3 linked regions of the Caenorhabditis elegans genome follow. The protein of the gene in region 2 interacts with the protein of the main gene of each other region in a pairwise test. Each region holds a gene or a part of one and is shown on either strand. Other genes may lie near its edges. The genes, in order: srx-137, cah-2 and lntl-1.

Region 1 (9,678 bases), on a different chromosome or scaffold from region 2:
CAGTTAAAGCATTATTGAAAAAACTTGAGATCTTAAATGGGCAGATGGAAATAAATATTGTACAATCATTTACGAAAAATACAAAATCATCATGTTAAAATGAAACTTCGAACGTATAGATCAAACTTGTAGGCGTTGAACAAATCAGACACTTTTGTTTGGTTATATACCAATTTTACAGCACACCGAATATTTCCCAAGAGCAGAATCAGTTGTCCATATCGTTCCATAAAAGTGTCCGGATAGTTTAATTGCAAGTATTCCATAAGTTCGTTTAAGCACTTATTTTTGAGCGACACCATTTTTTCTTGATAATCAGCAAAAATAGTCCATTTGGGGAATGAAGCTGGAATTATGTAAATAGGTTTGAAAAATACATTATTTTTGAACTTACGAGAAACTAGAAGTAAACTTTTCAAAGCTGCAATCTCGAATGTGTCGATGTCCATGATTTCGAATGGAATTTTAATAGTTTTTTCAAGGGATTTTACAAATTCAGAATGTTTTCTGAAAAGAATGTTTTAATTTACAGTCTTCGATTATAGTAAAAATAAAAATAACAAACCTAATAGAAGAATTACTGAATTTAGCAGCTTCATCAGTTAGACCATAAAGATAATCTGAGTTCAGATAAGTTCCATTTTGCAGATACCAGCATCCATTCGGTGTTTCAGAAATTGTTCGGAATGCTTGATCAACGACCAAAAATGCGAAACCATATTCGGAAATTACACATTTTTGATCTTCATTCATAATTAATTGGAATGGGCTGAACTGGGATGCCCATTCAATTGCATTATTTATACTCCATTTTAACACTTTGTTCACATCAGATACTGTTGCTCTTCGAAATTCAGAAACACTTTGATCTCGATGTTCTTCAAAATGACGATCTTGAATTTTGACTAAATTCTGAATGATATAAGATTCTGGCTTCCGCTGAACAACAGGAGGAGTAGATGCAGCTGTTGGTGGTGTTACTTTTCTTGGTCCAAGGCAATCTCGTCTTTTAACTGCCGACTGCTTCATTCCAACTTGTAAGCACTTTTGAAGACGACAAGCTCGGCAAGATGACCGGAATTCTGAAACAGAAAAGAATTAGAAATGAGCTGGAGGAAAAATGTTGGTGTCAAAAGACACAATGTATCAGAATTTTTTGTATCGTTCTGATTTCGATATTGTGACATTTAAATACCTACACTATAACAAATTGTTGTGTTTTGTTGGTGTCATATGATGGACGTCATAACTTTTGATTTTTTAGAATTGCATAGATATGGTGTTTCTTTTTTTTTTATAATTTAAATGAATTCATGCAACAAAAATTGCATTTAAAGATGTAGTATCGTCAGTGGATAAAACGTTCAAACATCATACTTTTCAAAAAAAGAATTAAATTTTCTATTTACAGGCAGAAAAAAGTGATTAAAATACAGTCATAATTTAAAATAGTCAGTTAATTGTGGTTATAAAAGTTCAAGCGGCAAAAATATCGGTCACGATGGACTATTATAAATGTATGTAGACTAAATCTTCAGTGATGATGCTCCACTTTTAATATTTAGGTAAACTTATTGCCAGAGTTTCCACCTAGCCGAGGCTGTTGGCTTTAAACTTACCGTAATTGATCAAACAATCTCCATCTTTCAAACATTTGTACTTCGATACATTGATGATTGCTCTGCGAAAAAACACAATACATCCCAAACATGCCGGCGATCCAAGACGAACACTATGCACCCGATCTCCACAAACTGCACAATTTTCAGACAATTCTGGAAACCATTCTGGTGATGGTGTCGATGGAGGGTAACTATAGGCAATTCCAGTTTTTTCAACTCGTGACACAACAATCATCAATTCTTAAAATGAACTGAAAATATTTATCGAATATTTACGATATGTTCAGAAGACTAATTTAAGAGAAAACAGGAAGGTGAAGGAAGAATGGACTTAACAAATAGGAAATGGGTTGAACGGACGTGAGGAAGATGGGCTTAGATCATTATCTGCACTGATCTCATCTCCGCGTGCATACTTTTGAAGGCGGATTGTAGCGCCCTTCGCATGTATTTGTGTGTAGATCGAACTCAGCTTACAAGGGCCAAGTGTTCAAAGCCAATTTTCAGAGATAAGAAATTCAAAGACACATCAAAGATAATCGTTTTAAACAAAGTTAACATTAAAATAAAATTCTTGCAAACCGGGACAAATGGCATTTGATGTTAAAAAAAAAAGAAAGCTCGAATAAAAACAAAATTATATTCCACGAGGGCGCAACTCAAATCTGGAAAACGAGAAAAAAACATAAACAAGAAGCCCCGGAACGCGATAAGATCTTAAAAATTTGCCAACTTTTCCGTATTGCAGCAGCTGGAAATTATTTATTAAATGAAATTGTTAAATAATTATAATTATCTTCTTTTAAATTACAAAAAACTAAATCCCGGCCGCTGCGACATTGAAAAGTTTTCCAAATTTTAACCGTCAATAAATTGTTCAAATAACTTAGAGCCGTTTCATTATGAAGTTTGGTTTTTAAAGATACTTTGAGTCTAACTGATAGTGAGAAATTACCCAAACTTCCCTACTACACTATTAATAAAAATGTATTATTGTTATAAGGAAGTTTCATTTTCTCCAAGAAGTTGGTCTTAGAAGTCAGAATGATAAAATGTTGGTTGATATTGTCAATTACAAGTTTTAAATAAAATATTCGTTGATGTGAAACAAAGCGACGCCTAAAAAAGGAAGAAAGCCGTCCAAAATGACCTATACCTTCAGGTGAGTGTCACTCCGGTGCGCAGATGGAAAATAAAGAGCGCTGCGACAAATATCTTTTTCAGAATCTCCGGTTAATACTGAAGGACATTGGAACTGATGTTCTACCGTGAGTCGGGCTAAAAAATTGAACGTTTCTGGAGTTATTAAAATAACAATGTTAAGTTTAGAAATATAAAAATTGAATGACCCAATTTACTTGGTTTTCAGTGCAAATGAGTTTTTTCCAGAATATATATTGTCCTTCAAAAACCTGCCATATCTATCAAACATCTATCAGAAACGCAAAAGTCTTCATAAATAGCCTTATAACTTACAGGGTCATCTTTTTTCTTGCACTTATAAAACATCTTACAGATGCGGTGGTGGTTTTGTGAGTAATAACTTCTTGAATTCAAAGTTTACTATTGGAAAATAGTATTACATTTCCTATTAGCTTTCATTCAGCCTTTTGGTGCATTAATTGAAAGCTCTGATCCAGTTGAAAAAGGTCAACATTATTTTCTGATTGGTCTGTTTGGACCTTGTAGTAATGATAAATCATCCCGAGTGTCCAACCTAATATCCACACAACCGCCCGACAGTCCCTTTGCGTGTTCTAATTCAAGAGATGGACTGTTGTGATATTAATGACATGCAGAATCTGGGAAACGGTGACCAAACTAGGTACTTCTCCGATTTATTCGCATTTTCCACCTATTTCTGGCGATTCACGAGGAAGATAGTAACATACGAAGGGATGAAACGGTATGCAAGAAGCGAAGATGAAATAATAAATTGGATAAAAGCGGAAGGATCACATTGCTGATACGAGGATCGTAATTTTTCAATAACTCGCCTATATTGAATTTTCAAGGATTCTTTGATAATCTTTCTTTTTGATTTCTGTCAACATTTGGTATTCAGAAATTTATACACTATGCATAATATCCATTGGTAATGTTTAATATTACAAATACACAAATTACGTGAGTCTAGATAAAATTATTTTCGGAAAACTTTTTGATAGATTTCTTCTGAAAATATTCGCTTTCTTCCGCGTAGTTTAAACATGTACCTAGCTTGAACCGTGACTTAATCTCTCATAAAAATCTTTGCTGTGCCAGAGGAATTTGTCTCATAATTAGAACAGGTTTGTTTAAGTGACTGTTTGTTTTTTAATCAATGTTTATACAAAAGTCAAGATAATAAATGTGCAAGTTTGCTTTTTTTTTTGGCTTAAATTACCAATTATTAAAATATCATGCAGAAACTTGAAAAAATCACAACCGATGCCCATTTCTACACATAACTTTTTTTTAGAAAGGCTTGGTCTTGTATGGTTTTAATTAATTGAATATTCATGTAGAATCTATATTTTAGAAACGTTTTCCGGTATTTTTGGAAACTTTATGTAGAGCCCACTAGATTTTTTCTACTTTTCGGAAGTTTCCAATACTTTCTCGGATATTTGAAATTCGAAATTTGTTCAGAACCTTCCCAACTTGTTGTAAATTCTCAATTTTAAGATGTTTACAGTTTTCCATAGCCTCCCAGTTTTGAATTTCTCCTGAAACTTGCAGTAGTTTCCAAATTCTTCTAAACTTTCTCGAACTTTATTAAATTTCCTGAAATTTCCAAAACCTCTACAATTATTATAATTTTCTTCAGTAAGCAAAATCACGTGAGCATTTATTTAGCTGCATTCATGGAATGATGTGAGGAGACAACAACGACTCCAGTTCTAGACGAATGACGGCCATTTGTTATCTGCCGGAACCACTTTGGTTGAACTTCCGGGTTAAAGTAAAGCATGACTATTCTGAAATAATTTTATCACATTAGTCAAATTTTGAAAGATCATGAGCAAAACTCACCCATCCGCGGCGTGTATTGCAAGAAACGAGTAGCACAGAAAGATATAACGGAACCAGACTTTGTCGCTGAGCTCGAATATAAAAATACTGTTTATTAGGTCTGTCAGATGCAGACAGTCCTGTATGACACATTGCACAAAGAGCCATAGACGCTTCTTTCTTCTTCGGGCAGCATCAGCTTGTCGCATTCCGGAACTCTATAAATATGGACTATGTGAATCGACATGGGAAAAATTAGAGCGATCGAAAACCAAAGTGTTGCTTCTCACACTGAGTGAGCTAAATCCTGAATCACTTCAAGTTTTCTCATGAAACTACATACCTGAGTACACAGGAACTTGATAGCAGTAAGTACATTAAAACTGTTAGAGGTGACAGCGAGGACAATGATTGACCAGAAAATAAGAGTTGTCATTTGATCAGCACATGTGGATTCTTCAACTCTCCATGAAAATATCTCGGGGTCATAGACGTAGGCGCACAGTTCTGAAATCGTATGAATGTAATTTTACGGTACAAATTAACATTGCCAAATTTATGTGTTATTAATTTCCGATTGGATTAAAATGGTTAAATCTAAATCCAAAAGCTCCAAAGAAGAAGCTTACTGAAATTCGATGTGTACTAACTTACTTCTTAAACCTAGCAAAGTATAGGTAATTGCTAGTCCAAGACATACAGCAATTGCAAAATATGTCACATAAGATCTTTTTGACTTATGCTGACGAAATGGGAAATAAATTACAAAAAACCGATTTGCTGCCATACACATTTGAATACTCGCGCCCAAAATATATGCACCACCACTTGCAATCTGTCCGATAAAAACATTTGGAAGATATGGAACTTTTGCATAAGTAAGAGAAAGAGCTGTCACTGGAGCAACCCAAAACAGAAATGCTCCACAAACGAAGATATCGGGGATAGTCTTTATAAGGCAAAATTTGTGGAAATCACTGAATTCTCCAGGCTTCCTGGCAAATTTCAAGAATATGTAGACACTAACCAGCACACCGATGAAACTTGTCTGAAAGTAAGAAATTTGGATTCTAACATTTATTGGAATTTATACTTACAATAACCATTGAAATTACAGCAATAATAGTGAAAAGATCCGCCATTGTGTTTTTTTTTCTGAATTGTATATGATTTTCGGAATTTACAGTTATGAGCACAAGGATTAGTTGGAGCAAAAACAAAGAAGTAGACTAATCATGAAATCTGTGATTCTTAAATTGTCTGGATTCTGGGAAAATTATTAGAGAATAGACATCTCATAGAACTTTGTTGTCAAACAATCGTGGGAAGTCACAACGAAAATGAATTAAGTTTTCCGGACACAAAAAGGGAAGAGGTTTTGTGAATGGCTAGAAGTTAGGGCTATCAAAGATTAAATCAAGGTAGCTTCGAAATTGTCTCTTAAGATTTATAAAATGTGAAACATTAGTTTAGACTTAAAATATGTGTGATCTTTATTGTTGTTTATGACGAAAATGAATAAAACCGAAAAATTTCATGAAAACTAATGGAATGCAGTGTGGCATTCACAATAATCTCGACTATACGAAGATTTATTGGTCTAATGAATTATTCAAGTATTTGCTAAAAGTTTTTGGCATTTAATGCGAAGCTTTAATTGAAACGAAATCCTATTATGCATCACAACAAAAACACGTTAAATTTTGCAGTTTTCGTACTAGATTTCTGCAATTAGTTTTCTCTTATCCACTTAAAAAATAATTTTTCATTTTTTTGAATTACAAACTTAAAATTAAATTTCAACGTTTTTTTTTGCAAATATTTCAAATTTTCTTCTGCGCTCGTGCCATACAAACCTATAAAAAACAACTGAGTACATAGATTGTGGTGTTCAAGTCTCAAACAAACTTTGAGAAATGCTTGAAGTGAGAATTTTTGCATTAGAATTCTCAGGTTAACAAAAAGTGATGTTACAAAGAAAAACCAAAAGAATACATATGCATCTTCTGAAAAAAGTGAAACTTCTAAGAAAACTTCTGAAATTAATAAAAATGACGCAATAACAGCACATTTGTAAGCCGTAACAAAAAATACCTACATAATCGTATATTAATCCAAATGACCACCCATGCTTGTTTCAATTATTTCACGCTTTCAGAACATTTTCGAGATCTCTTCATCCAGATCAGAACAAGATCTGTTTTCGTTTTTCTCCGGTTTTTATATTAAATTTCGATCATATAGTGGTTTGTCAATCTATGACATTTAAAATTCAGCAAAAACAGTAAACATTATTCAAAATTCACCTGCATCTTTAAAAATATGGGGCTTTGATTTTTTGTTTATCAATAAAAATCGCGGCACAATTAGATTTGTTATGTTATACATTAACACCTTTAGGGTCTTGCAAAGATGCCACATCATACATGGTATTAAACTGAGTAATCTTTTTCAGTCTTACAGACAATTCCAACACTTTAACATTCTTTGAGACTTAACAGCTGTAAAAAATTTAGAACATTTGTATTGAACTGATGTGAGTATTGTATTTCACCCGGATTCACGCAAATAACAATCACATAAAATTATTAAGTTCTAGCGAAAAAAATTTGAAAATGAGAATAATTATTCAACAGTTGTAATTTTCCTATCTCCCAAAAAAGTAGGCGTTGCAATTGTAGCTATCTTTGATGACGTCTTTCCTCTCAGAAAGTTGGGATGAACTTCAGGGTGAAAATAGAGCATCACAAAACTGAAATAAAGAGTTTTGTGTCTAAATACGCTGCTCCACGCTTGATTACCCGTCGAGTGCATGAATAAGAAGAAACGATATTGAAAGAAAAATGAACTGAAACCAAAGAGCATCGCTTAGTTTGAATATGAAGATGCTGTTGATGAGATCTATCACGTGAAGACAGTCTTGAATGACACTCTGAAAAAGAAACGATAATTTGGATGCAAGTGAAGCGAGCAAATTCGTGGTCAACGGTTCTGTCTGTGATTGTGAGCTCATTGGAATAAAGATTTTCTCCTTTTTTTGTTATTATCTGATATTGCTAATATTGTTTGTGTAAAGTTTTCAGAAACTAAATATAGAAAACATTGTGTTTGAATTTAAAAACTCTGAAAAAAAATTAAACACATTTTTCGACTTTCTCCAGTTATCTCATGAAAAAGCTAATTTTTTTTCGGGTCTTCGACTTTTGTAAAGATGTGCGTCTTAATTGTCTGTAAAGCCTGATATAAACTTACTTGTGTGAACATCAAAATCAACTTCTTTTTCCGTCGATGTGCATCGGCTTGATTCATTCCAGCAACCTAAAACTTCACTCAGTTGTTACATTTTAATTCAAATAAGTCTGATCTTTTGAAATTTTAATCTATGTTTTAGAAATGATGCATATTTTTGTAAATATGTACATCATTATACCCAAGTTCGTAATGAATTTGAACAACTCATTCGTAAAAATCGCTCATCTTGAACTAATAAAAAACAAATAATCAAAAGCTCACTTTTCCAATGGACAACTTGAATGCTGTGGCTACATTCAAACAATTGGTCCACGTGGCAATAGCAACCACTGAATAAAATATTAATGAAGACATCCCAGTTGCACAGGGTGTGTACTCTTTATCCCAAGTAAATGTAGCCGGATAGAACACAAATCCGCAATTTGCTAAATATAATTAAATTTATTACTGTAACTTTCCGATGGTAATGACTCACGTCTAAAGCCTAGGCATGTGTACAGAATAGCTACTGCAAAGGCTCCAATTATAGCAATTCCTGTTATTGGAAAGTCGCTTATACGTAGGTGTCTAGTTGCAAAGTACAATGCTGCAAATCTATTCAAAGACATGAATAGCTCCAGTATTGGTCCTGAAAAATTATGGAATTAATTTTAAAGTAGAAGAAGACTTCGTACATTTTATACAGAAGTTAGTTTGAATCATTGTTTTCTAGTTGATTTGATCAACATTATTTTTAATAGACAAGCTGAGTATGAGTATGCGTATGTTTCAGATTTTAAAGACTATAGTTTTAGCCATCAAAACAAAATTATTCTATAGTTTAGGGCACAAAAAAGACAATCACGACATTGTTTTGTGTGATTTATGAGTTCATTCCCCGTTTTTTAAAAACTCATTTTGTCGCTAATACATGTCTATTGTTTAATAGAGGATTTTAGTTATTTTGTATTCCAATTCTGAGACTAAAAACTCACCTGTGACATATGCGCCAAACCCGGCAGTTTGACCAACAAATACATTCAGTATTCTTGGAATATTTTCGTAATCTGGCTGAAATATTGACAAAGGTACAACCCATATGAGAAATGATGCACACACAATTGCATTTGGAATCGTTTTGACAAGGCACAGCTTATGAAAAGCACTTGCTCTACCTGCTTTGTTGGAAAATTTTTGAAAAAGATATGTGTTCACTGCGAGACCCATTGCACTGATCTGGAATTTGGAATTGGGTACGAAAATTCTATGTAATTTCGTAATACAGTTAGATGGCTGACAGACCAAGTTTCTGAGCCCCTTTCGTGGTTTTTTTTTTGATAACCTTTTTACTTTATACTTTCAAAACTTACCGTAAACATAGAAACAACTGCAATAACGTGAAATATGACCGACATCAACTTTGATTCCGGAATAAAAAGAAGTTGGTCTGGAACCAAATTTTCTTCCGTCATAAATTGTGAGTCAATAAACGAGCCAGATGAAATATCATTCTGGACAACTAGATTTCTTGTTCGTGGAGGGGTGTTAGGTAATTGGGTTTTGTCGCCGTTATTGCCTCCTTCTCAAGTACGTGCTAAAATAATCTGAAGCTGAGAAAAAATACTGGTCACGTGATGTGTACGCCGGCTCAAGTTTGTAATTATATGCTTGTTTTGGTACTTGAAATTACGGGTTTTACGATTTATAACCAACAAATACGAGAAAACAAAATGACTTTGAGCTATGATGAATTAAATTCAGAAAAAATACCAGTTAACTGAACGTAGATGGTTTTGACATTGCAACAACTAAAATTAATGATTTTTTCCTC
Region 2 (10,249 bases):
AGTGAATCTCCGAATCATCTACGACTGATTGCTCAGCAACTAAATGTGCAGTCGAGGCTTCATTCATTTTCTCATTCACAAAAGAAGATTCAGAACCATTCTCGATTACAACATCAGATTCTAAATGGTCTTCGATATTCTCAAGAACAGTTCCGCTGGTTGAGTTAGACTCTGGAACATCTTCTGACTCATTTTGCACAATCGCCTCAGAGTTTTCAATAAATTCAACATCGATTTTCTCGTTTTGAAGGTTCTTCTCTGTTTCCGAAGAGCTTTGTGTCGGTTCTTCACTAGCTTCATTTTCTTCCGCTACAGATTGCATTCGTTCTTTCTTAGAAGAATTTTCCGGCTCAGAAAGATAATTGTGATTATCTGCGTTGAAAGAATTAAGAGAAGAATGAGTACTATCGAGACTCATTGCAAATACATCGGGCACTGAATCATTTGCTTCGTAAAATTCTTTAACAGCAGGATCATAATGCATTTTCCGATGATTCAAAGCCTCGGAAATTACCAGTTCGGAGAAACGATCAGCAAATTGATAAAGTGCTGATTCATTTGCTGACTCTTCGATGGAATCACGTCCTCCTTCCTCTCTCGCAGGTTTATCTTTCAAACTCGACTTATCGACGCTCTCGTCATTTAGGTATGCCAGCATATCTTCCATTTCGGTATCTAAATCGAGATTTGGTTTTGATATTGTGGCAGTAGGCTCCGTGTCTCTTGCAGTGGCGTTGAGATTTGAAATAATTTGTGTTTCCGGAACAAGAGTATCCTGAAAAATTATATTTATAATTTATTTCCGTTTATAATAAATTACATACCTCTTCTACTTCTGATACTTCTTCAGGTTCTGGTTCTGGCTCAGACTCTGGTTCTGATTCTTGAGAAAATTTTTGTGTTATGACTTTTTTGGAAGGATCGAAATTTGTCGCGTCGGAATAATTATGAACAGATTTGAGCTTGTGAGCAATTTCTTGACGTGCCGAAACTTCATTCTCTTTTCCTATATTTCTTTCATCTGAATTAGGCGGAAAACTTGATTTAGTTTGAAATGTGTTTGGAAGCTGTGAAGTGTCAATATTGATGTTGCCCTGGAAACAAATGTGTAATTGTAAGATAAAACAAGTGCAGGGAGATCTTACTTCCATCTGTTCATTCATATCCTCACTAATCACAAATTTTGAAACGGTTACGACAGTTCTTGGAGCCGGATTGTGTTTTATGCCACGTGGTTGCATTCCTATCGATGTTGGTGGCAAGAGAGGTTTTGATTGAACACTGCAACATTTCTTGACCAAGTCTGACTCCATTTCGTCGAGAAGGTCGTCCATGTCAGGTACTTCCTCCATTGTGACTGCAAGAATATTATTGAAAAAATAACACGGATATTCAAGTCAATGTTAAAATCATTATGAAACCGAAAAAATTGTCGTATGAAAGTTCATGCGGAGGAAAATGTTTTTGCGAAGAGAAAATCAATATCCAGCGTTTTAGAAATATGATTTAAGCAAGGATAGCGTTTTAGGAATTTCTTCAGAATTAAAAACGGACAGAAAATCGTGTAAAGACTACTTTTACGACGCGGAAGTCTTGTCAACAAGAGAGAAAAGAAAATGCGATCAAGTGGTCGGTTGTCCGCAATTTGGCGTGACGGTGTCTTCTAAAAAGAATGTGTGCAATTTGACGTGACGGTGAACATTCTTTTCAGCTGACGTGAGACCCGAAGAACTCGGGGGATGTCCAACTGGGGGGATTACCAACTCGGGGGATTGGCCCGCCCACAGAACCGTGGCTTGCAATACGCCCATTTCTGCAACTGCCGCACGGTTTTAAAACTGTATTTTTCTCAATAGAGCGAGAATTAACAAGAAAAAAATGATTTTAAAACCGTGCGGCAGTTGCAGAAATGGGCGTATTGCAAGCCACGGTTCTGTGGGCGGGGCCAATCCCCCGAGTTGGTAATACCCCCAATTGGACATCCCCCGAGTTCTTCGGGTCTCGCTGACGTTGGTTTCGGTTTTCCAGTTTTTTTCTCATTTCCGTCTTCATTTATTGTCATTTGACTGAAAGTACGAGAATTTAGAGAATAAAATGAGTGAGCAGTACAACACTAAAAATGCCGGTGAGTCTTTTCAAATTTAGCAACTAAAACAAACGAGTTTGTTTTAAACAAAAGTTCTGATAAACCGATTAAAATGTTTTCCGTTACAGGTGTGCGGAGGCTCATGAAGGAAGCCATGGAACTGCGACAGCCAACGGAAATGTATCATGCACAACCAATGGAAGACAATCTTTTTGAATGGCACTTCACGATTCGTGGTACTCTCGGGACTGACTTTGAAGGCGGAATTTATCATGGTAGAATTATATTTCCAGCAGATTACCCGATGAAACCGCCAAATTTGATACTTCTTACGGTATGTTCAGTTTATTCCTTGCAATTACATAGTCTACACAATTTTTCATTACAGCCTAATGGACGATTTGAGCTAAATAAGAAAGTATGCCTTTCGATTTCGGGATATCACCCAGAAACGTGGCTACCATCTTGGAGCAGTAAGTTTTACAATGGTCTATTCATTTTAAGACTTTTTAATACATTTTGCAGTTCGTACAGCTCTTCTCGCGTTGATTGGATTCCTGCCAAGTACCCCAGGAGGCGCGCTTGGTAGTTTGGATTATCCTCCCAAAGAGCGCCAGCGTTTAGCCAAATTGTGAGTCTCATTTTTTATTTGTTTTTAATCAAGTAGCGTATTTATAGGAGCTGTGAGTGGAAATGTAAAGAATGCGGATGTGTCATGAAAACTGCGCTTCTTCCGATAACTGAAGATGGACAATTAAAACAAACCGAAGAAGCGAAAACTCTTGCTGCCCAACTCAAGTTTCAAGATGAATCTGTTGTTAAAAAAGAAGTTGAAGCAGCCAACAATCAAAAGAACCCGACAGAAACAGAGCCAAGTGAAGAAACAAGCTCGGTCCCAACAGAAAATGTCGAAGAATCAGAAGAAGATGCAGATGAGAGAGAAGAAGGTACTACTGTTAATGTCAATTCATCAGAAGTACCAGATGTCGCACAACCTGCTGTCCAACCCATTCGAGGTACTTGAATTGAAACATTTTGTCTTGAAAATAATTTATATTTTCAGATCCACAACCTCTGGTATTCCAACACCACGCTCCCCGCTTGGCATCAACAAACTTTGACTATACCCTTCTATACAAGATTCCAGTTATCGCTTTGTGTTTCGCTATTTTCTTCACACTATTGGCTCGTCGCTTCCTTGTCGATAATCTAACTTCACCAAAAGACGGTTCCGAGTTGTAAATACATGTATAATATTATTCAATCCCGTTGTACTTTTTCCATTTTCTAAAATCAAACTTCGTGCAATCACTTGCCAGTTATTTCTTGGCTCTCTCCTCTCAGTTAGTATTTAGATTCTAATGAAATTATCACAAAATATTTGAGTATCTTTCTTTGTGATTCTTATTTCTTGAGTTCTTTTTTATTCATAAAATTGGTTTTAACTATTTGTTCAGTCAAAAAATATCACAAAATTCTACAGAAAGAGAGTCAAACACTTCATTTAAAATCGAACCCGTATTTTATAGTTCCAAAGTGTCATTAAATACAGAAATACACAGATCAATAGTTAAATCTTTCGGAGAAAGAATGAGCAAGAACGCGAAGTTTTTCAAAGTGAAAGAAGAGTAGAGAATGTACAGTAATTTACTAAAATGAACCGGCTTTGGAAACATCATCAGGACGAATGCTATCGATTTCGAAAACTTCCGATGTTGGAACATATCTTCGAGAAACCTGTTGAAATAAAATATTAAAATTTATCTGCGACGTGTATCTTACCGAATCATTCCGCTTATTTCTACCAGGATTCGCTTGGTACCCCATTTCCACGTAAACATTCGATGGACAACTTGAAGATACAGTAGACTGCTGAACAATTAACTATATTAAAGATTTGGAAGACCAAGTTTTCTCACTTTTGATCCAACATTTATATTTGTTCTAACGAGACGGCCATTTAACGATTTCAATGGACGATATGCAGGAGTCATATATGATGGTTCTGGTTGTTTTGTTTCTGTTTTTTGCATTTCATTCCAAATTTGAAGCTGAAATGTTTCAATTTATTTCAGCCCTTTGCATTAGATTCATTTATGACTTACATCATCATTGGTTATATAAATTGGATTATTTAAAATAACCCAAGTGACAGTTTCATGACATCCGGGAAAAGTTAAAGATCCTTCGTATGTCACATAGTGAGAGGTTTTTGGTAAAAGTGCAGATGGTTGAAAATCAGTGAGATTTGTAGTCTGGCCTGAAAAATGAATCTAAATTTTAACGCAGTTTGAAAATGCCGTTTGATTTTATGAAATATTTCTTGTTATCGTAATTTGGTAAGGCAATGCTAAAGGCACAGGTTTTTTCCAGTGGGTCCCAGACCACCTTGTCTTTTTTTTTCCGTTCCAAATTTAGCAGTTATATTTTTCACACCAAGATTGAAATAGTATTCATGTAGAACAAACTCTAAAAATATGGTTGCACCATGTTCCAGATGCCAAACAAAAAGGATCTTACACTGTAAACCGGTCATCCGGTATTTTGAGTGAAGATTTTGAGTTTTTCATTTTCAATTATATACTTTCTGTACCATTGAAAAAACACGCACCTTTATAGTTAATGCTCTGTGACGCAACCGTTAATCTTCGTAACTCCACAGATGTAGTCTTTCCAATCTAAATACAAATTTTGACTTTAGAAAAAGTATAAGTACTTACATCAACAATTACAGAAACTGCAAGAAGCCCTCTTGGTGATGTCATTGCAACACTGAAATTTGGATAAAGTGCACTATTATATGCTAGTAGCTGAATTTCCGCCGGAAATCGAACTCTGTCTACAGTATGCTCTGATCCTTTCTCTCCTTCATCTGCTCTTCCAAAGTGTACGCTTATCTGAATTAAATTTATTTGCTCGTGGTCTAAAAATTCCTTTTCGAATAAAGGGTACCTGATGGAGTTTATAACGATAAGGCATTGTTGGTCCTCCTGTTATATTGATTGTTGGCCGATTTGGTAGATCTTTAACTGTGACCACAGGAAGTTGTCCGGTATTTTCGAAAACTGCTTCCACCTGGAAAAATGAACAAAATTATACGGGAAACTCATAATCAGAAAGCATAGAAAACGAACTTACAATATTTCCCTCAATGTTTATAGGCATTAGATGTGGATCATATAAAAGTTGGGAAGGATCAATGTTTACTGGTGATTGCATTTGACCAGCTGTACACATTCTCCAGTCACCGTGTAATAATCCCCAGAAGTCGGGACCTGAAAATATTGAATTGTTGAAAATATAAACCAGTCATGGTATTTATGTATTTATAACTATTCTTCTATGCTTAAAGATTAAAAAAAATAATTTGGAACTTTTGTTGGCAAAGTTTTGGTAAACTGCCAAATTTACGTAATATTTTGACTTTCGAAAAGTTTAGAACAGTATCGCAGGATCTTCAAAATGTTCAAATACAAATAATTAAAACATTTTTAAAACTAAAAATTAATAGGAAACACTTTTTGGTCGAATTTATGAGTGAGTGGAACTAATCCACTTTTGAAAGTTAAATGCATCAGCTTGTAAGCTGCTGAACTATTTTCAAAACTTTAACTATAGGTGTAATACCTAGGAGTATTCAATTATATACGTGATTAGTGAATCATAACCCTAAATTATAGTAAGACATAATGAATATGATTGTTGTCATAAACAGAATATTTGAAGTTTGTGTATTTCAACTTCCAGATTTTAAATCACGGGGAAGTCAGATTTCTTACCTATAACACAAGGATATATACAGGCTGTCAAGAGCCATGGTATCATAATATTCTGCGGAATCTTCTGGAATGAAGGTAGTGGGAATGAGCAAAAGAGAACAAAGAAAAAAGAGAAAAAGTGCAGAGAAAGAGAGTCTCTGAAAGTTGCCAGTGACAACTGACACGGTACTTGTTCGTCTCAGAATTATTTACGAGTTTGTCGGCTAATTGGTGTCGAAAACGACAAAAATGTACATTCACGAGTAGTACGAATAGCGAAAAGAGAGCTCAGCCCCAAAAAAAGACAAGGAAGATTGATTGGGTGCACTTTTTTCGGTGGAGTACATGATGAGGTGGGACTGGTTAAGAAGATGAAACACTCAGATTGCCAGCTCACGGAGCACCTTTAGATGTGTTCATTGCCGGAAATGTGGCTTGTGAAGAAGCGCAGAGACATGGCGAGCAATTTTGCATATTTGAATCAGTAGTAAACGAGAGGAGAAGGGCACGCAATTGAAACAAGATGACCGGAAATCTTTGGACACGAAATTAGAAAACAAGTGTCAGGAAAATTTTCTGTGTGGGCTTTTTGCTGAACCTTGGAGGTATAGTAAAATACATATTCAACACAGAGTAATCAAAAAAGATAATGGTTAAAAAATCTAAAATGCACGGACTGTCAGGTATATGGTGCACAATTTTGAAACTTATCAAATTCTAAGTCTTATAGTTAGATACCTTACTAGATGTCTAGTGGATAATGTTTAAAGTACTACGCAACCTATTATGATAAGGTGTCAAAAATGGGAGCACATTTATTACAAATAATGTTATTTTTCATTTTGTGAAAAAAATTAAATTTTATTACTTCTTTTCAATATTTTAAGCTTGGGCTGATGCTAGAAAATTTTAACTCTTCAAGCTTTTTATTTAATATTGATAATTTTTGTAAAAATTTATTGAGCAAGGGGATGCTCCGAAAATGAAGTGAAACGATGAAAAGAAATATGGAAAATGAAGAAAGTTAGTTATAACTGATGGAGCCAATTATTCGAGTTATATATCATACACTTATCCTCCTTTTCTCAAAGAAAATATTTTCTTTTTCAACAAAACTGCTGTGTAACATAACAAAAACGTGTATTTTCTTCGCAGGATGACGACTGGGAGGGCCGAATTGGTTAGAAATTAGATTGGGCCAAAACATTTACTGCCGCGAGACGGAGTCCGATTAGAAACGGCAAGGCGTTGCTTCACCGCCCCGCTGTGACCCACAATTTGCCAGGTATTCCGTTCAGGAAACTGCAGTTTTATTAGTGCAAAAGCACTATTCAAAAGTGGTAGAGAGTGGCTTTTTCGGGGTCAGTCGAGAATGTGCCAAAAATGCATGAGAATGAGCTGAAAAATGTGGATAAGAAAAAGAAAGAGCTTGATGAAAGAAAATAACAAAAATGTTGCCGTTTGATACTCTCTTGAATATGTGGGACGGAGGTGCGAGAGTAGGCGAAAAAGATTGTGTGAGCCCATAGACAAATCGTGGGAAACTCGTATCCAGTAAATTGATGAATAATTCTTTTGATTTCGGGAGGATCATCAAATGAAAATAGTGGGAAGATTAAAGAGAAAAAGACAAGAAATGTTCGATGAAATCTCTAAATGTCCGACGAAGCACTGAGAACCTCTCTATTAGAAGTTATTTAGCAAAAATACAAATTTTTATAACTTCAAATAAGATTAAAATTGCTTTTGAAGACCGGCAATTTTCTACAGCTGGTGAGTTTTAAAATTTATTTGAAACAGTGAGAATATCTTTATTGGTTTTAATCCTTTAAAATAAGTTATTTATTGAGCATTTTTCAGGCAAAATTTAGAACAAAAAATGTTTATGAATTTGAATCAATCATTCTTGACTCCTGACGAAAGGAAACCTTAGAAACATGGTGCGGAAATATTTTCTTCAAAAACAAAACTATTATTTTTCAGATACTACACAAAGCTTATTCCAGTGTTATTTTAGTTTTTCTTTGCAAAATAAACGATGAGAACACCTTTTCATGTCGTCAGACTATCGTGATCGGAAAGAGAGTCTGGAAAAAAGTGACAAAAAAGAAACGCGTAAAGTGAATTCTCGCCGCGCGGTTGAGACGGAAATTTGAATTTTGTGAGCAAAAAAGAGAAGAGAGAGACCTCAATTGTGTTTATGTGTCAGTTTTTTTTTCTTTTTCCAACAAAAAAGTTACAGCTAAACCGTAGAAAAGCATATAAATGACTTACCACCAAATAATTCGGGGTCAAATGTCCATGGATATTGAACTGCGTTTGATGTTATAAGAAATCCAGTCGTGAGGTAGAAGAATATTAATTTTTTTCGCATTCTGTAAGTATCTATTTCGAAAATATTTAAAAAAAACGAAGGGGAAAATTGAAACGAAAAATAGAAGACGAGGAAACAAATATAAATCATCGAGAAAAGGGTAGAGGTCAGTAAAGAATATGGAAAAGTGAAGTGTTGCCTAGGAATCAGTTCTAGATTCAAAACTTACTGAAATATAATTTAAGACAATGGGAACTATTTATTCGGAAAAAATTTAAAAAATTGAATAATTTTATTTCACAGTTAATTTTTGATGAGTTCATGAGTCGAGAACTAACTGTGTCTAATGTGGTTATTCAAGTGTAACGTCGAAAAATACAGAAATGTCTTTGCAGGAATCCTCATTGAAAAAGATATTCCCTTTTTAAACATTTTTCCAGAACAAAAGTCTAAAAGATGAAAAAAATAAATTCAAACTTTAACATTCTCAAACATGTGCATTGATAAAAAGCCATCAAGACACAGAGAGAAAAAACGAGGAAAGCCTTGCACTTCTTCGGATACCCAATAACCATAAACTTTACGAGTAACTCACTTGTGTGGGTCACTATTCTTTCAAATTAATACTACATTCCAAATTTTTGTATGTATATGAAGAGATGGACTACGGGAAGAAAAGTGCTCAAAGAGCCAAGAAAGGAGGATGCTCTTTTTTTGGGGGAAAGATATTCAATACATTGAAAAGATGATGATGAAAGGCGCTTCAGAGAGTATATGGGGACAGTTTCTCACGACGACTCCGCGTCGTTTTCTAATTGGGTTTCTTCAGGCAATAAATGGGGGAAGAAGCGGAAAAAGAAAAGATGTGCTGATGAGATTGAATGACCTTTGTGGCCATCAGATGAGTTTTCATATATCGGTTGTAGTAAAAGAAGCTCTATGTGTAGAAGACGTAGACAAATTGATAAAGTTTTGGGCGTTATAGAGAGAGGAAAGCAAGAAAATATGATAAATTGGAAAGGAAGACTAGGGTGGTTGATATGATAAACATAAAAAAAGGAACTCACAACCGATGGCTCGAATAGAGACCGACTTTAAACATTGCAAGATCATCAATAATTGATTTGTTTTAAAAATAAACTGGTTCGAATTGCAACAAGCTGAAATATTCAAAAATCGTCTACAAAAGTGGTCATCAGAAATAATATTAAAATTTAATCAAGATTAAAGGCGTATCGCAAATGGGAAAATTGTTTGAAGCCACTTTTGAAATCATTTACTATATATAAAGCGCTTATTCTGTGTGTCCATAGTTTGTAGTCAATGTAGTCTTTGTAGTCTGTGAAGTTTTGGCTTCTGTGGGGATAGTGAGTTGGGGTTAGTGTAGGGATATATCGGGGTACTGTAGTGGTACAATAGTGGTACGGTAGGAATACTGTAGGGTTACGGTAGTTTCAGAAAAATAAGTTTTCAGCCCCAGAAGTCGGGGGCGCGCCGGAGGTGCGGTCCACGGCTGGTTATTTTATATACTGCTAAAAATTTTAGATTTCAAAAAATGTGCAGCCGAGGTTTTGTTAAATTGTCAAATAGCTTTGGAAATCAACCAAAAAAATTGGATTTTTGGATCTGGATTTCTCTAAAATTCAAAATTTTCGAAAATTTGACAACTTGCCAAACCCTCAACTGCACACTTTGAAACCTTTAAATTTTTTGGAGTGGTTTCAGCCATTTTGGACTATTGTAAATAAGTTTTTAAAAATCCCCATTGGCTTTACTTCACTTTTAAATAGTTGCAAAGAAATTATCCCAAAAACATATCAGCTAAAGGAATTATAAAGTTTAAAAAAGTTTTCCTAGATATTGATGAAAACAAAACTTGTTCTGACAAACTTCTTATAACTAGATTAACCCTATTCTGTCCAAATAACAACCTAGCCATTTCCAAATAAAAATTAATAAATCCAGAATTGACTTCTTGCCTGACAATATCGAATTTCCAACAAAAATTGGGCATAAAGAAAACGAAGAAAGAGACTATGTCGATTTGAACTCTACGAATTTCCGATTTCCGGAAATTCTCTCAAATTGCAA
Region 3 (13,733 bases), on a different chromosome or scaffold from region 2:
CAACGTGAACTTTTATTTCATTTTTTTCTATTCTTCACGTGGCGTTTGCCAACTCATACGTTCAGAGAATCGATAAATCGATCAGTTCTCAATAATTTTCTTGAAACGGTTGTGCATCAAAAAAGTCTTCCGTTTGAAATTCTTCGCACGATGACAGATCATTTCAATTACGGACCTCGTTTGAATTTCAATCATCTTCATCAGCAACAACAGTTGCAGTGAGTTTTTGGGAAAATTTTTTTGAAAGTATAAATATTCGTTTTAGTTCAACAATCATTCCTTCGGAGTATCTCGGAGACAAGTCAGGATTTGAGTCCAGGTAAGGGATGAAGAAGGCAATTCCAAAAAATTTTTAAACAAAAAACGACTGTTTCACGGTGCTATTATAACAAAACCATATGAATGTGATTTGGTTCGAACCATGCCTTTGCCATTTTTAAAACATCATTATAAATAGTTCTGCAAATTAATATTACAGAACTCTTCCATCGGAATCTATTATGTCAGCCAACAGCAGCAGTCTTGGATCTCACTGGAAGAGAATTGATTCGTTCACTAGTGGAAAATCTACCCAATCAATTCCCACTACAATTTCTTCGAAACCTCTAACTATTCCTTCATCGATTTCTGCCAACACCGCTTCCATCCCACCAAATCATGGTTCAGAATTTTCGAAAGATTTCAAGATGTCATCCTCATCGAGCATGACTAGTGAGTATTCGGAAACCATCCATGGAAACTCGTTGGCATCTCTGGCTCCATCGTCACAAATATTGAGCTCTTTGGTTGAAACTACTGAGAATCGGGAAATGAGATTGTGCCTCGGTAAGCAAATGGAAGGAATTCTGGAACTGGATACGGTAAGTTGTTGCAGCTTACATTTTCTATAAAGAGACGTCAATCTCCAAAATTATTAAATCCAATTAACAATTGTCCAAGAAAAATGCATTTGAATTTTTCCGCATTCAAAATGTTGTATTGTCAGAAGAAGTGCACACAGACACAATCATGCCTGCCTGCCTGCCTCAATGTCAACCTGATAATTTAAAAATGCTCGCAGGCAGGCATGTGTCAGGCACGTCTTTCTGATAAGCAAGATGCTGAAAGGTTTATCTATCAGTTTTTTAGATCCTCGAGCAAACTGTGGAAAATACAACTGAAACAGTTGTCAAGCAAACATCCAAACTTGCTGAGTTGCTGCAAAATGGAAAACGTACTTGGGGACATCATGATGAGCTCGTTGATTGCCTGGAAGAAACTGTTGGTGGAACAGTAGATGAGCTGGAAAAGTTGGAAAAGAAGCTTCTTGATATGGACGCCAAGGTGAGAGAATTAAAGTTTTCCCGATGATAAGAATATTTTACAGATTGTCGACAAGTTCCGTGACAAGGAGAAGGTGGAAAAGTTTGTTCGTGATCACGAGAGAATCTACGAAATCAATGAGAAGACCATCAATATGATATCAGAGAATGAGAAACGTGTTGCTAAAATCCGTCAATTCCTGGATATCGGGAAGGTTGATGTTGGGCCTCTGACTGTTTTTGAGCAAGAAGATCATCGTGTGCAACAGGCAGTCAATAGCCTTGTCAATTTGATTCACGAGCTTCCTTTCAACAAGAATGAACGCCTTGATTTCAATCACACTATCGAAAAGATTGTTCAAAACCACAATTATGATGGGAAGTACAAGTTTGAGCTTCTGACTCGTCATTTGATGCGTGTGATGAGCAACTGGGATGCACAAGAATCAATGAGCAGCCTGAACAGTGATTCCTGGATGAGTACATCAGTTGTTTCTAGTAAAGGAAATCATTTGGATGTATTTGATAGCTCCTCGTTTGCTCTCTCTGGATTGTCAACTGATGACTCGAGTCTTAATGATTTAGACGATGCCATTCGCAGTGCAAGTATTCGTAAAGCTGTTGAAGGTCCGAAAGGAGTTTATGAGTGCGGGTAATTTTTTTTGATGCTAAAATTAATTTTTAAAATATAAAAAAATTCTGTTTCAAAATTAAATCTTATAATATTCCATCCAATTCCATCAATGCCGTTTTCAATTTTAGATCTTGGGATTCTGCTTCAAACATTTCTCAATGGTCTACCTACTCGGATGGTCACTCCAGTGTGCAGTCACTTCGCGAGCAAATGTCCTTGTCTTCGTATGAGCTTCGCTCGTCCTCTGGCCACTCGACACTTTCTTCTCGTTAGTTGCACATTTTTAATCCTATTTCTTACTTTAAACTTTTAGTCTCCACCAGTTCCATGCCGGACAATATGTCTGAGATTCCGTGCAAGAACTATTCAACCAATTCCATGAAGACTGCCTTTTCAAACGGTAGCTCAGTTGTCAGTGTTCCACCAAGATCGTTTGATGAGAAATCAATGCTCCAATCTGCCACTGGAACTCGTACGGATTCGGCTTCTTTCAATTTTTCTAGTGTTTCTCTTGGTGAGATAGTTGAGGATGCACTTCATACTGCAAAGGATGTTGGTTAGTATTATTTACTGTTTCTTCTAGTTTTTAAAAATCTCAGCACATTGGGAAAACCGTTTCACTATCTTATTGACCAACTTTTTAATTTTCTTTCCAGCTGAAACTCAAGCTTCTCATTTGTTTGATGCTCTTCAAAACTCGGCTCAGAAATGCGGAGTTGCTCTTAGTGTAAGCGAATACGGTAGTTATCCTTGCAAATAAATTAATTTCAGGACCTGATGACCGCTGTCTCCACCAGCTCATATAGTCTTGAAGAGACTTACACTTCTCAACCAAAGTCTCCTGCCCATTAAATTTTTTTCTATTCGACTTTTTGTATTCAATGCATTTTTATTTATTTTTATAGTATCAGTAAAGTTTTAGAGTTGGAGTCATTTTTTTGGCAATCTGTTTCAAACAATGATACCCGCAGAACATAATACAATTTTAACGCTTTGTTACAAAATCTACTGTTTCAAACTGTTGATAAGTATAATAGAACCTTGTTTATGATAGTTAACTTCATAAATCGAATAATCGAATGCTTATTTTTCATTACCGGAAATTATTATATCAGAGGGGAAATAAATGGATTTGTGAAAAGAAGTAAAGCAGAGAAGCCAGTGGAAAAAGATAAATTATATTGATTCATAGTGAGAAGTACTTGTTAGTACCGACGAGACGAGTTGAGTGAAAATTCGTTGATTCGGACTTTTTGCTCAATTCCGAAACGGAAGATGCACTGGCCGCGGGTCTCGTAGATGGCAGCCTGGAAATAAAAGGTGTTCCAAGAAAAAAAGTGACTTGTCATTGTATAATAGAACTTAAAAATTGTGTAATACAAAATAAATTATCCGCTGTTTCAAACCTACTATTAAAGATTTTGATATAAATTAAAGAATTTGATATATTAAAGATTTTGATATAAAAAATTGGTCAATCCGTCATATGTATCAAAGTTTTTTTTTAATGAACTCTATACTTTTTCATATTGTAGACAAAGTAGGCGAAAAAATTTGAAATCTTAGTGAGCTATTCGATTCGATATACTTACAGGTCCATCAAAGCGGAATCCTTTAGCTGTGTAATCAGGCATTCCTCGGATGATATCACAGATATTTCCTTCGATAATTGTGACCAAACTGTTGTTTTCTTTCAAGTTGGTTACTGAAAATTAAATTCGATTACAAGGGAAATTATTTGTGGGTATATTGCCTGGTTACCTGGTAGTGAAATAGTTTTTCTGTTCTTTTTTCTATTCAAGCTTTTCAAATTGGAAGTTTAATTTTTCCCTGTTTTTACACACCTTCATATATTTTCTTCCATTGAATAATTTCAAAATGTTGTTTCCGTTTATTAGTGGTGTAGCACTAGAAGTGGAAGTGAAACAGTTGAATAGTCAAGGACCCTTGACAATTTATTCATTCATTCTCTTGCCAATTCAATGAAAATGTGTTAAATTTGCATGAAAAAGGAAAGAACTCACTTGTCACCAAAACTTTGCCACTCAGACGGTTTTCGATGCGGAAATCGCGAGTTACCTGGAAAAAAGGGTTTTTGACGGATGATGGGGTCGTATAAAGTTTTTTAAAGTTTAGTGACTTGACTAACACAAACTTATCAAAACTTCTCGGAAAGCATAATAATTTATTAACTGTTTGAAACGGCAAAACATTGTGAATATGTAGTAGGAATTTTAATTTGATTCAAGAAATCTTACATTAGACATTACATACTTAGAGTTTCTAAACAGTTGCATTCCTTTAAATTTTAGTCAGTAAAATACCTAATTACCGTTTTTTTTTGTTGCAATTTCACTTGCCTTATTATTTTTCAATTCAAATTTCTATATCTGTAAAAAATTAAGCTTTTGAAAATCATTACTTTCTATGAGCTAATTGAAACAGTATCAAAGAGGTTTTCATTGCTGAAAATTTCAAATAGGAACTATTCATCGATGAGAGCTTTCCATATAAAAATTTAATCTGTTCAGCTGATGTAAGTTTTCATAAAAATTTTCTATCTCGAAAATGGATTCATCATTCAATTTTTGCAACCAATTTTTTAAAAATCCTTTTAGAACATTTCTAATTACTGAAAAAGTAGTTTGAAGGTTTAAATTTGATTCCATCTCATTCAAACAATTTAAAAACTTACAATATCTTCAATAATCACGAGTTCAGCAACAGTTTCTGCACCTGGTGGCACCTTAACACAACTATCAACACCCCATGTCAATTCTTCTTCAGAAGTATTTTCTCCAATATGATTCAACATAACTTCTGTAGTAAATCCAGCATTTGCTTCCACAACTTCACAAGGAGTTTTCAGTTTCAGTGAAACTTCTGCTCCACGGCAAACTCCCTTTTCGATGATTACAGTTGAAGAGCTGCGAGTGCATCGTTCCGTTTTGAACGAATATTCTTGCTCGCGTTGAGTTGTATTCGTGAATGTCGTTTTGAAAATCACTTTCTCATCTTGTTTCTGAAAATTGAATATTCTTGTTGAGGTTGAGAGAGATGTGAATAAAATTTCTAATAACCGCTATTTCAATATTTTTCATTAGAAACAGTAAAATTTTTCTTTTTTTTAAATTTTAAAATCAAATTTCTCAATAATATGGAAGTTATTTTTTGTTCAGGAAACTTTGAAACGCACATACTGAAATTTGTATATTTTTATCGACAGTAAATTTTTCTAAAAGTTTTGATTCAAAAATTAATGATATGCCAAACCTATTCCAGTATAAAACTTTAAATGTAATATTTTTAATTTAAAAATAACTAACTGCATCGACAACATTCGGCTTTGCTCCAAGGATTGTGTATGTTGGCTCCGAGCATTCTTGAAACAGTTTTGTCCAGTTGATATTGTACTGAAAAATTGTTGGGATTATACGGAAATGCCCATGCGAGTTCTTTAAAACAACTTTCTTAAAATTATAACTAGAATTGTGAAAAGTGATTCAAAGACTAGATGTTTATTAAGTAACTCTCGTTGTAGTTAAAACGTTTCAAAACCACCATGAAACATACTCCAGTTGTATTTTTTAAATACTGTTTCGCATTTCCCTCAAAATATTCTTTCTCGCTAGGAATTCTATACCCTCAAGGTGTGTAACTCGTAAATCAAGAAAGCGGGTGGTATGTGTGACTGTTGTTCCTATACACACACCCTGAGCCTTTGACACCTTCGTGCCGACTTCATTTACATTTACACTTTGGGAGCATTGTTGATGATGAGGTTTTTGAGAAGTTGGTGAAGATGAGAGTAATAGTTGATTCTGATTTTTGTTCGTTTTCGAAAACGCTAGGAAAAGTTTGCAGATTAATTTATCTCGTTATTGGAGTCAAAACAAATATGAAGTTTTAAAACCATGTTGAAAATGATTTTTTGTCATTTTTTTATTCAATCATAAATATTTTAATTTGATTTTTTTTTTCAAAATTATATTCAATCATTACAGTCCATTTTTTACCATTAAAAATATATATCAACAACAAATATTTTTGGCGCCTCTCCAGCCAGCTTTAAGTTCTAGAAAACTGTTCAAAAAAAATTGTAGAAAACTGCCGATAATTCGGTGAAAACCCTGACAATTTCCTTTTGCTGGGTACTTTTTTTTTGAGTTTTATAGCACAACGAGAATAAGTTTATACAGAAAAATTAAAGAAGTTTTAAAAATTATTATTACTGTTTCAACATGTTTTCATCAGCTTTGTACTTCAGCCAGGAAAATGTTGAAATTGCTTCACAAGATTCTTCCCTTCAGATTTTAGTAATACATCCTATTTCCCATTCTCTATATCAATTTATTCACTTTGGCGGGACCTCATTGTATTCAAATAAATGAAACCATATGTCGGTTCCCTTGGGTGATTTTTGTCATTCTTTCTTTCTCTCTTTCCCTTTTCAATTTCTCTTATCCCGCATGAGCATTCTTCAATTCATTACCCCCTTTTCACTTTGAACGGATTAAACACACACATGGGACCTCCCAAAGGCACAACCTATCAATTTTCATGCTCAATTTCCTAACGGAGGTGCCAATTTCCTCTTTCCGTAATTGGATCGATGGTGACAAACTGAGCATAATGAATGGAAATGCTCACCGATAAATATTTCTTCTTGATTTTTCCCTCCGCTTTGCTTTTTGTCACATCAAACATTGTCTTTGCCCAATTGGTAACAACTTCTTCCAAATCTATCAGGTCGGATTTTGCGGCGTCCTGGAAAAACTCAATTTGTTTTTATAGGGTGCAATACATGCTATAAAATTTTTTTTTCAAAACTTTTCATTAAATTGAAAATTAAGAATTCAAATGGGTTAAAGCGGTAGTTTCTGAAATCAAAATGTATACAAAACTTGATGAAACAGTCCATTTAATTTTTATAAAGGTTCATTTCTTACAGGTGTTTCTAACAGAATTAACATTCCTGAACATTTTTAACTTTTGCTCTTTCATTAGAATCGCAGAGAATTCGAAAAAAGGAGCAAAATGTAAACTTACAAAAAATAAAATTATTATCAAAATATGTTGAAACTGTAGAAAAATGTAAAACTTGATAATTTAGCAAATTAACAATATTTCATGTTTAATAGATTAAAAAATTTTTTGAGTATTTTTTTTCTTATTTGCAACAAAAATTGAATGATTTTTTTAAGAGAACGATTTCTCAAAACCTTAAAAATCGAATTCCAAACTGCTTTTGGGCTCTTAATATATGTTTAAAATTAATTTTATCACAAATTGCATCCGTGAATCAATGAAACTGATTATCATATTATGATAAAAACTTGTTGAGACAGTACAAAAAAGTTGTAAATTTGAAATTCTGTCAATGTATTTTTACACATTTTGCGGCATATATTTTTGCTGATAAAGCGAGCGAACAAAAAATAATGAATTCGTAAACTTTAAATGTGCTCATAAAATAACTAGGCTCATGAAAAAAATGCAAACACTCTTGGAAAAATATCAAACAATCTGTGTATTCGGTGACTATTTCAGCTTAGAGATTATATTTTTTGCAAGAATACGGATCAAAATTGAATTGTTATGTTCAGATGAGCAATAATTTCATGTTCAATCAGTTAAAAATAATTAATTAAATGATCCTTTTAATATTGAGGTATTTCACGTTTTTCATATTTTGAAGAACATAACTTTTAAAACTGCAAAGATAAAAATATACACCTCAAAAATACAAAACTTATGAAAAAATGTTGAAACTGTAAATTAATTTCGAATAACACAAATTCGCTTGTTTACAGAATCCCACAAAAGTATACGTAAAAAATAAAAACTATCTTCACAAAGTTATAAACTTTAATTAAATAGTGTTGATACAATATTTATAACACATTTCAAGTGTTCAAATTTTCAGCACAAGCTGTATTCTTCCGTTCACTTAAAGAAAAAAATATATGCATGAATTAATGAAAGCTTAAAAAATCGCTGAAACTGTGAAGAAATTTTAGGTTTCGCTATTTTTAATATATATTTTCAAATTAAGAATTAAATTCAAATACTTACATTTCCTTTCACAAAGCTTTGTGGCTCATTTGCTCTGTTCGATTTCAGCATTTTCTCCTGTTCTGGACTAAAAGCCGGTGATTTCTGTGGAGATATGCAACCTGGAATTTATTGATCATTAAGTTTTCAGAATAGATGAGTCAGAAACATATTTCAAAATATTCTGAGTCTCTCTTCTCTCTTCATTTTTCAACCGAATCAATAGTAAATTGCGCGTTGCAATTCTGCGTCTAAATTTTTTGAGCGCTATTTCACTAGAATGCACGAGAAGACGGAAAAACGTCGCCGCTCTTCTCTGGCTCCCCTCAACTACCGTAATCCACGTTTATTTTTCTCTGCGTCTCAGAATCTCTAGTTCAGAGGATTCAGGCACATGAAAACGTGGGAAACAAAATCGGAAATGTATATGTGAAACATGGAAAAGGAGAGAATTTCGGAATAATTAGAACTGGGACTGGAGAGAGAGAGAAAGGTGAAGGCTACAATTAGGCAGGTATTCAGGTAAAGAAGAAGAAGTAAGTGAAAGTTTCCTATTTGAGAGAAGGGAGAACTTATATTTCTTACTAAAGCTTTTGAAAATAGTACGGTAATATATATTTTTCTCAGCAAATGAAATAAAATTTCAGTGAAACAGAAATTTTTTTAAATTCCGCTCACTTTTTTCAACGTTTTTCAAATATTTGTTTCCAAACATTTAAAATTGTTGTTATGGTAATTGAATTTTTTCTGAAACTGTAGAAAATGTATTATAAAAAGCAACTCACTTTCATCACTCATCATAGCAAAAATTTTTGCGTTTCTTATGAAAAGCTCTGCTCATTTTAACCTATACTGTTTGTTTAGTTTTTTTCACGGTTTTTTTTGTTTTAAAGTTAAAGCCAGCAATACTGTTGTGAAATTTTCCAACTTTCCTAGAAGACATCATAATGTGAAATTTTTCGAAAAAAAATTACAGTTTCATTCATAGAATATCATTTTATTTTTTGAAATTAATTCAATCATCTCGATGTGTGGGATCGACTGGCCGAAAAATTTCAAGAACATTTTGAAAACTTCAAAACCTTCCTCTTCACTTCCACTTTTGTTTAACGTTGTTTATAAATCAGATTACTGTACTCTGATAGAAAACGACACAGAGAGAGAGAGAGAGTATAAGAAAGAAGAGACGCAAAGAAATATTGCGAGGGATTTGGCACGGTACAATTGCAACGCGGTTCGGTTTGCCCTCTCACAAACAATTGAATTTATAAGCTCATGCCGAGAGAGAATAGAGACACACAAATCACTTTTTAAATCAATTTTTTGAAATTCCAATGATGATTCATGATTACACTATCCACTGTTTCATGATGTTTATAAAAACTCGTAGGTTTTATTTAACATATTGAGTAGTTGATGTAAAAAGTTTCTGCAGTTGAATAAAAGAAAATTACACCAATTGAGTATTATATATTTAGGTTAGTTGAGACGTTAAAAAAAGTTCTGCTCCAAATAAAACATTTTTTGGTTAAAATTTCAATGAATGCAGACACTGTGCGCTTAATTCACATAAAAAAAATTTTAAATTTAAAATCAACAAACTTACTAAACATTTTTTTATCGAAATTGATTTCCAAAAAAAATTCGATGATTCAGACGGGCAATCGGGGGACACACAAACAGGAGGAGTCTCTGTGAATCGAAGCCCTCCGCCGGGTTTCACATGACGACTCCGCCTACTTTGTATGCCTGCCAGCCAATCGTCGATGACTTCTTTGCCTCTTCTTCTCTTACTTATTTTCATTTTTCCAGGGATTCAAGCTGCTCGAGGGGGCGATGTTTTTATTTTCCCTGTAGAATTGATTGAGATGTATTTTTAAAAAATTAATAGTAAAAAAGAGGAATTACTAATACATACTTTAACCAATATTCGAAAAGCTAAGTGAATATAATTTTCGTATTTTTTTTTACTGTTTCAAAATTAGAATATAATTGAAGTAATTTTTGAGAAAATAATTCGATTTTTGTAATCATAATGAGTAATGCTCAACAACAAGTCGTTTTGTATTTAAAATAATTTCTGAAATATTAGCTAAAGTGAATCCATCAGCGATTGAGAACGGAAAAAAAACAATTCGAACTATTTTCGGAATTTTTTTTGCTGTTTCAGATGTTAAACTAAAACCATTAAAACAAATGCCAAGTTTGATAATTTCTTGTAAACACTTTTCATATGTTTCTAATACGTTTCTAATATATATTTAAAAATATGTATTGGTAAGCAAATAATAGTTTGGGGAATTTCCTTCATTCGAGTTTGGCCAAAGTTTTTTACCGAAAAATCGATTTTCGTAATCTTTAGTTCAATTGTAAGATTTTTGACATACTACATTGTTTTTATTTATCAATGAAAAATTATTACAAAAATTGGTTTTTATAAATTGTCGTTTTGTTTTCATATATTATAGGTCTTACGTCCCACAAGTCCTGAAAAAATTAGGAGAACACGGCGAACAAGATGTATTTTAAGCTCTTTCCGGAAAGGTTTGAGTTTTAATTTTTATAGTTTAAAAGTTCATTCAACCACTTTATGAAACATTTGAATTTTTGAATGTGTTTTTTTGAAAACTTTCTGAAACCTTCTAAACTATATTTGCGAGGAATTTTTTTTTACAATCTATCCCTTCACACTTTTTACTGTCACCACACACCCAAAAAACCGTGAAATTTATGAGTCAGAACACAACGACGGAAACATGGAATGGGACAAGGACACCAACGAACACGCAATCCTGAAAAAAGTTAAAAGTAATATCTTCAGAACCTCCCTGAAATTTATAAAGAAACTGAAACATGATATGTGATAACTTTGCAAAACAATGTGAAAATTTTAAAACAAAAATACGAAAAACCAAAAAAAAAGAGTGAAAAAATAGTGGAAAGATTATTCAAGCTTTGAAAAAATGAAGCGTATTCATGAAATTTATAAAACGGTCAAAAACTTTAACCAACGTTTTATTTCAATAATGCCTAAAAGCATCGAAAAGTTATCCATTTTTTAATTTACATTTCAAACGTATTCTTCAAAAAAAATTTCTTAACGTGTGTAGCTCATTAAATGGTTACTGAAAAGTGACCTATCATGTCTTGGAAGGGTTTCAATCAAAAATATCAAGAACATTTCTACTAGAAAAAAGTGAAAATTATGGCCCAAATTAATTTAAACATATTTATGAAAATAGTGAAACGGTAATTTTTTCGACCAATTTTTTGTTTCAGTGGCGCCAGGATATTTCAGACTCACAAAAAAATGACCCAACATCAGGAACACCTTTGGAGTTTCATTTGAAGTTTTTTTTGACATTTGACAACATCCATAGACAATCATTTGATTAGCGACATTGGCATATATCAAGAACCTGAAAACTGTCATGTTAAACACTGAAAAAATAGTTGGCCTAACCATCCTGAATTTTATCAAAAACCTGAAACATTTTATTTAATAGTTTTTTATACAAAAATCAGTGACGTCGTTCGTTTATCAATTTACTAAGAAATATTTTAGAAAGATACCAATATTTCAATTTTAGTCAATTATTTTCGCATTCTCTATCGAACAGTTGTCATTTTAAATTTCAACTTTAAAATGTTTATTAGTAGTAAAACAATCTCATAGATTTTCATAAAAAATTTTATGATAAAATAGTGAAACGGTAAAATTTTTCAACAAATTCCATTTCAACGTCACCAAAAAAAATTTAGATTTTCAATATGTGATCCAGTATCGGGAACAACTTATAAATTACGTTTTGAATAAATGTTATGTTTCAGACATTTAATAAATATACCATAGTCAACTAAAATTCTAAACAGAATGATAAACCACCACAAAATTTATCAAGAACCTGAAACTGTTTTCAAAAAAAGTGAATGTTTTTTTTTTTTTTAACTTTCATTCTATTAATCAACCAAAAAACTCCTAAGCGTTTTGATATTTGAAAGTTGTTCCAAATAAATACCGAGTATTTATATAACAGTTCAAGGATTGAGAGCTACTTTCATGCTCAGTATACGTTTTTTTTCAAAGAGCTTAAACTCCAAAATAAAAGATTTATCGTTCGTTCCACTGTCCTATCAGTTAGAATCAAATCATTTGCATGTTTACTGAACTTATGAAACGGTAAAATTTTTCTGCCGATGTTAATGCTGCCTGTCAATGTCAAATCTTCAAACAAGGGACCACATATCGGGAATTTTCATTTCAAATATATTCTACCACTCGGCCGGCAACAATCATAATAATAATAATTGAGCAAAGCAAACATGTCGGCTTTTTCTCCTTCACAACCAAAGAAGGGAACGCGTAATAGAATGCGGTGTGAAATAATACATTCTATATATGTTTCTGTTCTCCCCTCATTCCCACTCTGTCCTCATTTCTACCTGCTTGTCGAAAACCTGTCAAGCTCCGTTTATTTGTGTTGGCTCATAAATCTACTTTCTCTCCAAAGAGCAATTGAGCCAATTATAACATTTATGCTCATGCTGGAGAGGAAAAAGCTTTTGGAAGGGAAATCTCCCATGGGGAAAAGGTGAAGAAGAAGAAGAAGTGATCAACAAATTAGAGACAATTTTAGGATTTAGTAAGAGAAGAGGAGGGAATGGAAAGGATACGTCAATTAGCGGATTATGAAGAATGGGGCATCAGAAGAAGAAGATGAAGAGATTTGAGAGTTTTGGATGAAAAATTGGAAAAGGGATTGAATAGATACGAAGGTTAATCTACTGCAGTTCTTAAGGTTTTTCAAAAGGGGACGTTTAAAATAGTGTGCAATGTATATTGAAAAAGTTCATTATAAATGCAATAAACCACTGCAATTCAAGCATTAAAAATGTATCCATCCATTGCTGGAATCTGTTGAAAATATTTTTATTTGAAATCATGACTTTTCAGAACACATGTATAATCGTTTAAAAACGTTTTGAATTGAATTTGATTGCAATTATTTTGAAATAAAAAGGCAAAAATGTGAACATCAATGTTTGAAAAATACCCACATTGTTTGTTAAAAGTATGTGAAACAGTAAAAAAATTTCAAGAAAATTTTCCAAAACAAAGGTCCAGAACACAATTTTCAGCGCTGTTTTCGTTAATTTGTTTCAGCCTAATGTAATTCATAAGGGTTCTAATTTGGAAATCCACCAAAAATCCTGAAGCCTCTTCTGATGATGTCATATTGTTTAACATAAGTTTCCCGCATATTTTGGAGGTCAATCGACAAGGGAAACTTTCTTAATACACGTGCTTATTATTCAGATGCACAATTTTCAAATGCAAAATTGACCTGTGGAATGTTTGAAAAATACTTGTATTCATTTTTTGGAATATGTGAAACAGTAAAATTTTTTCGAGAAAATTTTCTAGAAAATTGTGTCAGAACATCATTTTAACCCTTATTTTGTTGATTTTTTCTCAATCCAAGGGATTTCAAAAAGTCATCTTGTCAGTAGACCTAAATATTGCAAATCATAAAAACTTTCATATTTTTTGAAAACAAGCTACTGCCATATTTTGGAGGACAAAGTGCAAGGGTACCTTTCTGAAATAAAGAAGAAAACCATAAAACTCGACGCAAAAAATAAATAAAAAAAACTACCATAAACTTTTCTACGCGTCGAGACCCATCTGGATAAACCCTAGCGTCTTTAAGAAGGCATGTCAAAATCTACTGGAAACACAATAA

What was found.
Region 1: the proteins of cah-2 (region 2) and srx-137 interact in a two-hybrid assay, tested with the Caenorhabditis elegans proteins (one large-scale study listed by BioGRID).
Region 3: the proteins of cah-2 (region 2) and lntl-1 interact in a two-hybrid assay, tested with the Caenorhabditis elegans proteins (one large-scale study listed by BioGRID).

What each region holds. Positions count from the first base shown.
Region 1 is NC_003283.11:13,858,885-13,868,562, reverse strand, and holds srx-137 (7TM GPCR serpentine receptor class x (Srx) domain-containing protein), read right to left. Parts: upstream 5,759-9,678; coding exon 5,714-5,758; intron 5,665-5,713; coding exon 5,271-5,664; intron 5,124-5,270; coding exon 4,960-5,123; intron 4,838-4,959; exon of another isoform or gene 4,835-4,837; coding exon 4,638-4,834; intron 4,583-4,637; coding exon 4,453-4,582; 3' UTR 4,364-4,452; downstream 1-4,363. Other genes in the region: nhr-175 (Nuclear Hormone Receptor family), read right to left, coding at 90-346, 395-507, 566-1,082, 1,620-1,857; srx-135 (7TM GPCR serpentine receptor class x (Srx) domain-containing protein), read right to left, coding at 7,242-7,368, 7,418-7,548, 7,869-7,934, 8,130-8,293, 8,344-8,496, 8,843-9,083, 9,218-9,262; srx-136 (7TM GPCR serpentine receptor class x (Srx) domain-containing protein), read right to left, coding at 9,621-9,678.
Region 2 is NC_003280.10:7,477,181-7,487,429, forward strand, and holds cah-2 (Putative carbonic anhydrase-like protein 2), read right to left. Parts: upstream 5,930-10,249; 5' UTR 5,912-5,929; coding exon 5,866-5,911; intron 5,362-5,865; coding exon 5,225-5,361; intron 5,162-5,224; coding exon 5,039-5,161; intron 4,984-5,038; coding exon 4,807-4,983; intron 4,765-4,806; coding exon 4,698-4,764; intron 4,347-4,697; coding exon 4,192-4,346; intron 4,138-4,191; coding exon 4,006-4,137; intron 3,959-4,005; coding exon 3,869-3,958; intron 3,824-3,868; coding exon 3,737-3,823; 3' UTR 3,571-3,736; downstream 1-3,570. Other genes in the region: aka-1 (FYVE-type domain-containing protein), read right to left, coding at 1-775, 825-1,094, 1,146-1,352; ubc-6 (UBC core domain-containing protein), read left to right, coding at 2,095-2,125, 2,215-2,420, 2,475-2,559, 2,612-2,717, 2,765-3,102, 3,150-3,328.
Region 3 is NC_003282.8:5,797,371-5,811,103, forward strand, and holds lntl-1 (LIN-24 (Twenty-four) Like), read right to left. Parts: upstream 9,724-13,733; 5' UTR 9,603-9,723; coding exon 9,596-9,602; intron 9,417-9,595; exon of another isoform or gene 9,395-9,416; intron 9,030-9,394; exon of another isoform or gene 9,009-9,029; intron 8,701-9,008; exon of another isoform or gene 8,680-8,700; intron 8,600-8,679; exon of another isoform or gene 8,579-8,599; intron 8,112-8,578; coding exon 8,011-8,111; intron 7,238-8,010; exon of another isoform or gene 7,216-7,237; intron 6,703-7,215; coding exon 6,586-6,702; intron 6,331-6,585; exon of another isoform or gene 6,310-6,330; intron 6,236-6,309; exon of another isoform or gene 6,215-6,235; intron 5,865-6,214; exon of another isoform or gene 5,722-5,864; intron 5,461-5,721; exon of another isoform or gene 5,436-5,460; intron 5,349-5,435; coding exon 5,262-5,348; intron 5,002-5,261; exon of another isoform or gene 4,978-5,001; intron 4,958-4,977; coding exon 4,631-4,957; intron 4,094-4,630; exon of another isoform or gene 4,073-4,093; intron 4,015-4,072; coding exon 3,960-4,014; exon of another isoform or gene 3,641-3,959; coding exon 3,528-3,640; intron 3,523-3,527; exon of another isoform or gene 3,502-3,522; intron 3,401-3,501; and 5 more. Other genes in the region: C31H1.1 (DUF148 domain-containing protein), read left to right, coding at 151-218, 266-319, 479-860, 1,129-1,323, 1,367-1,953, 2,064-2,203, 2,249-2,491, 2,592-2,662 and 1 more.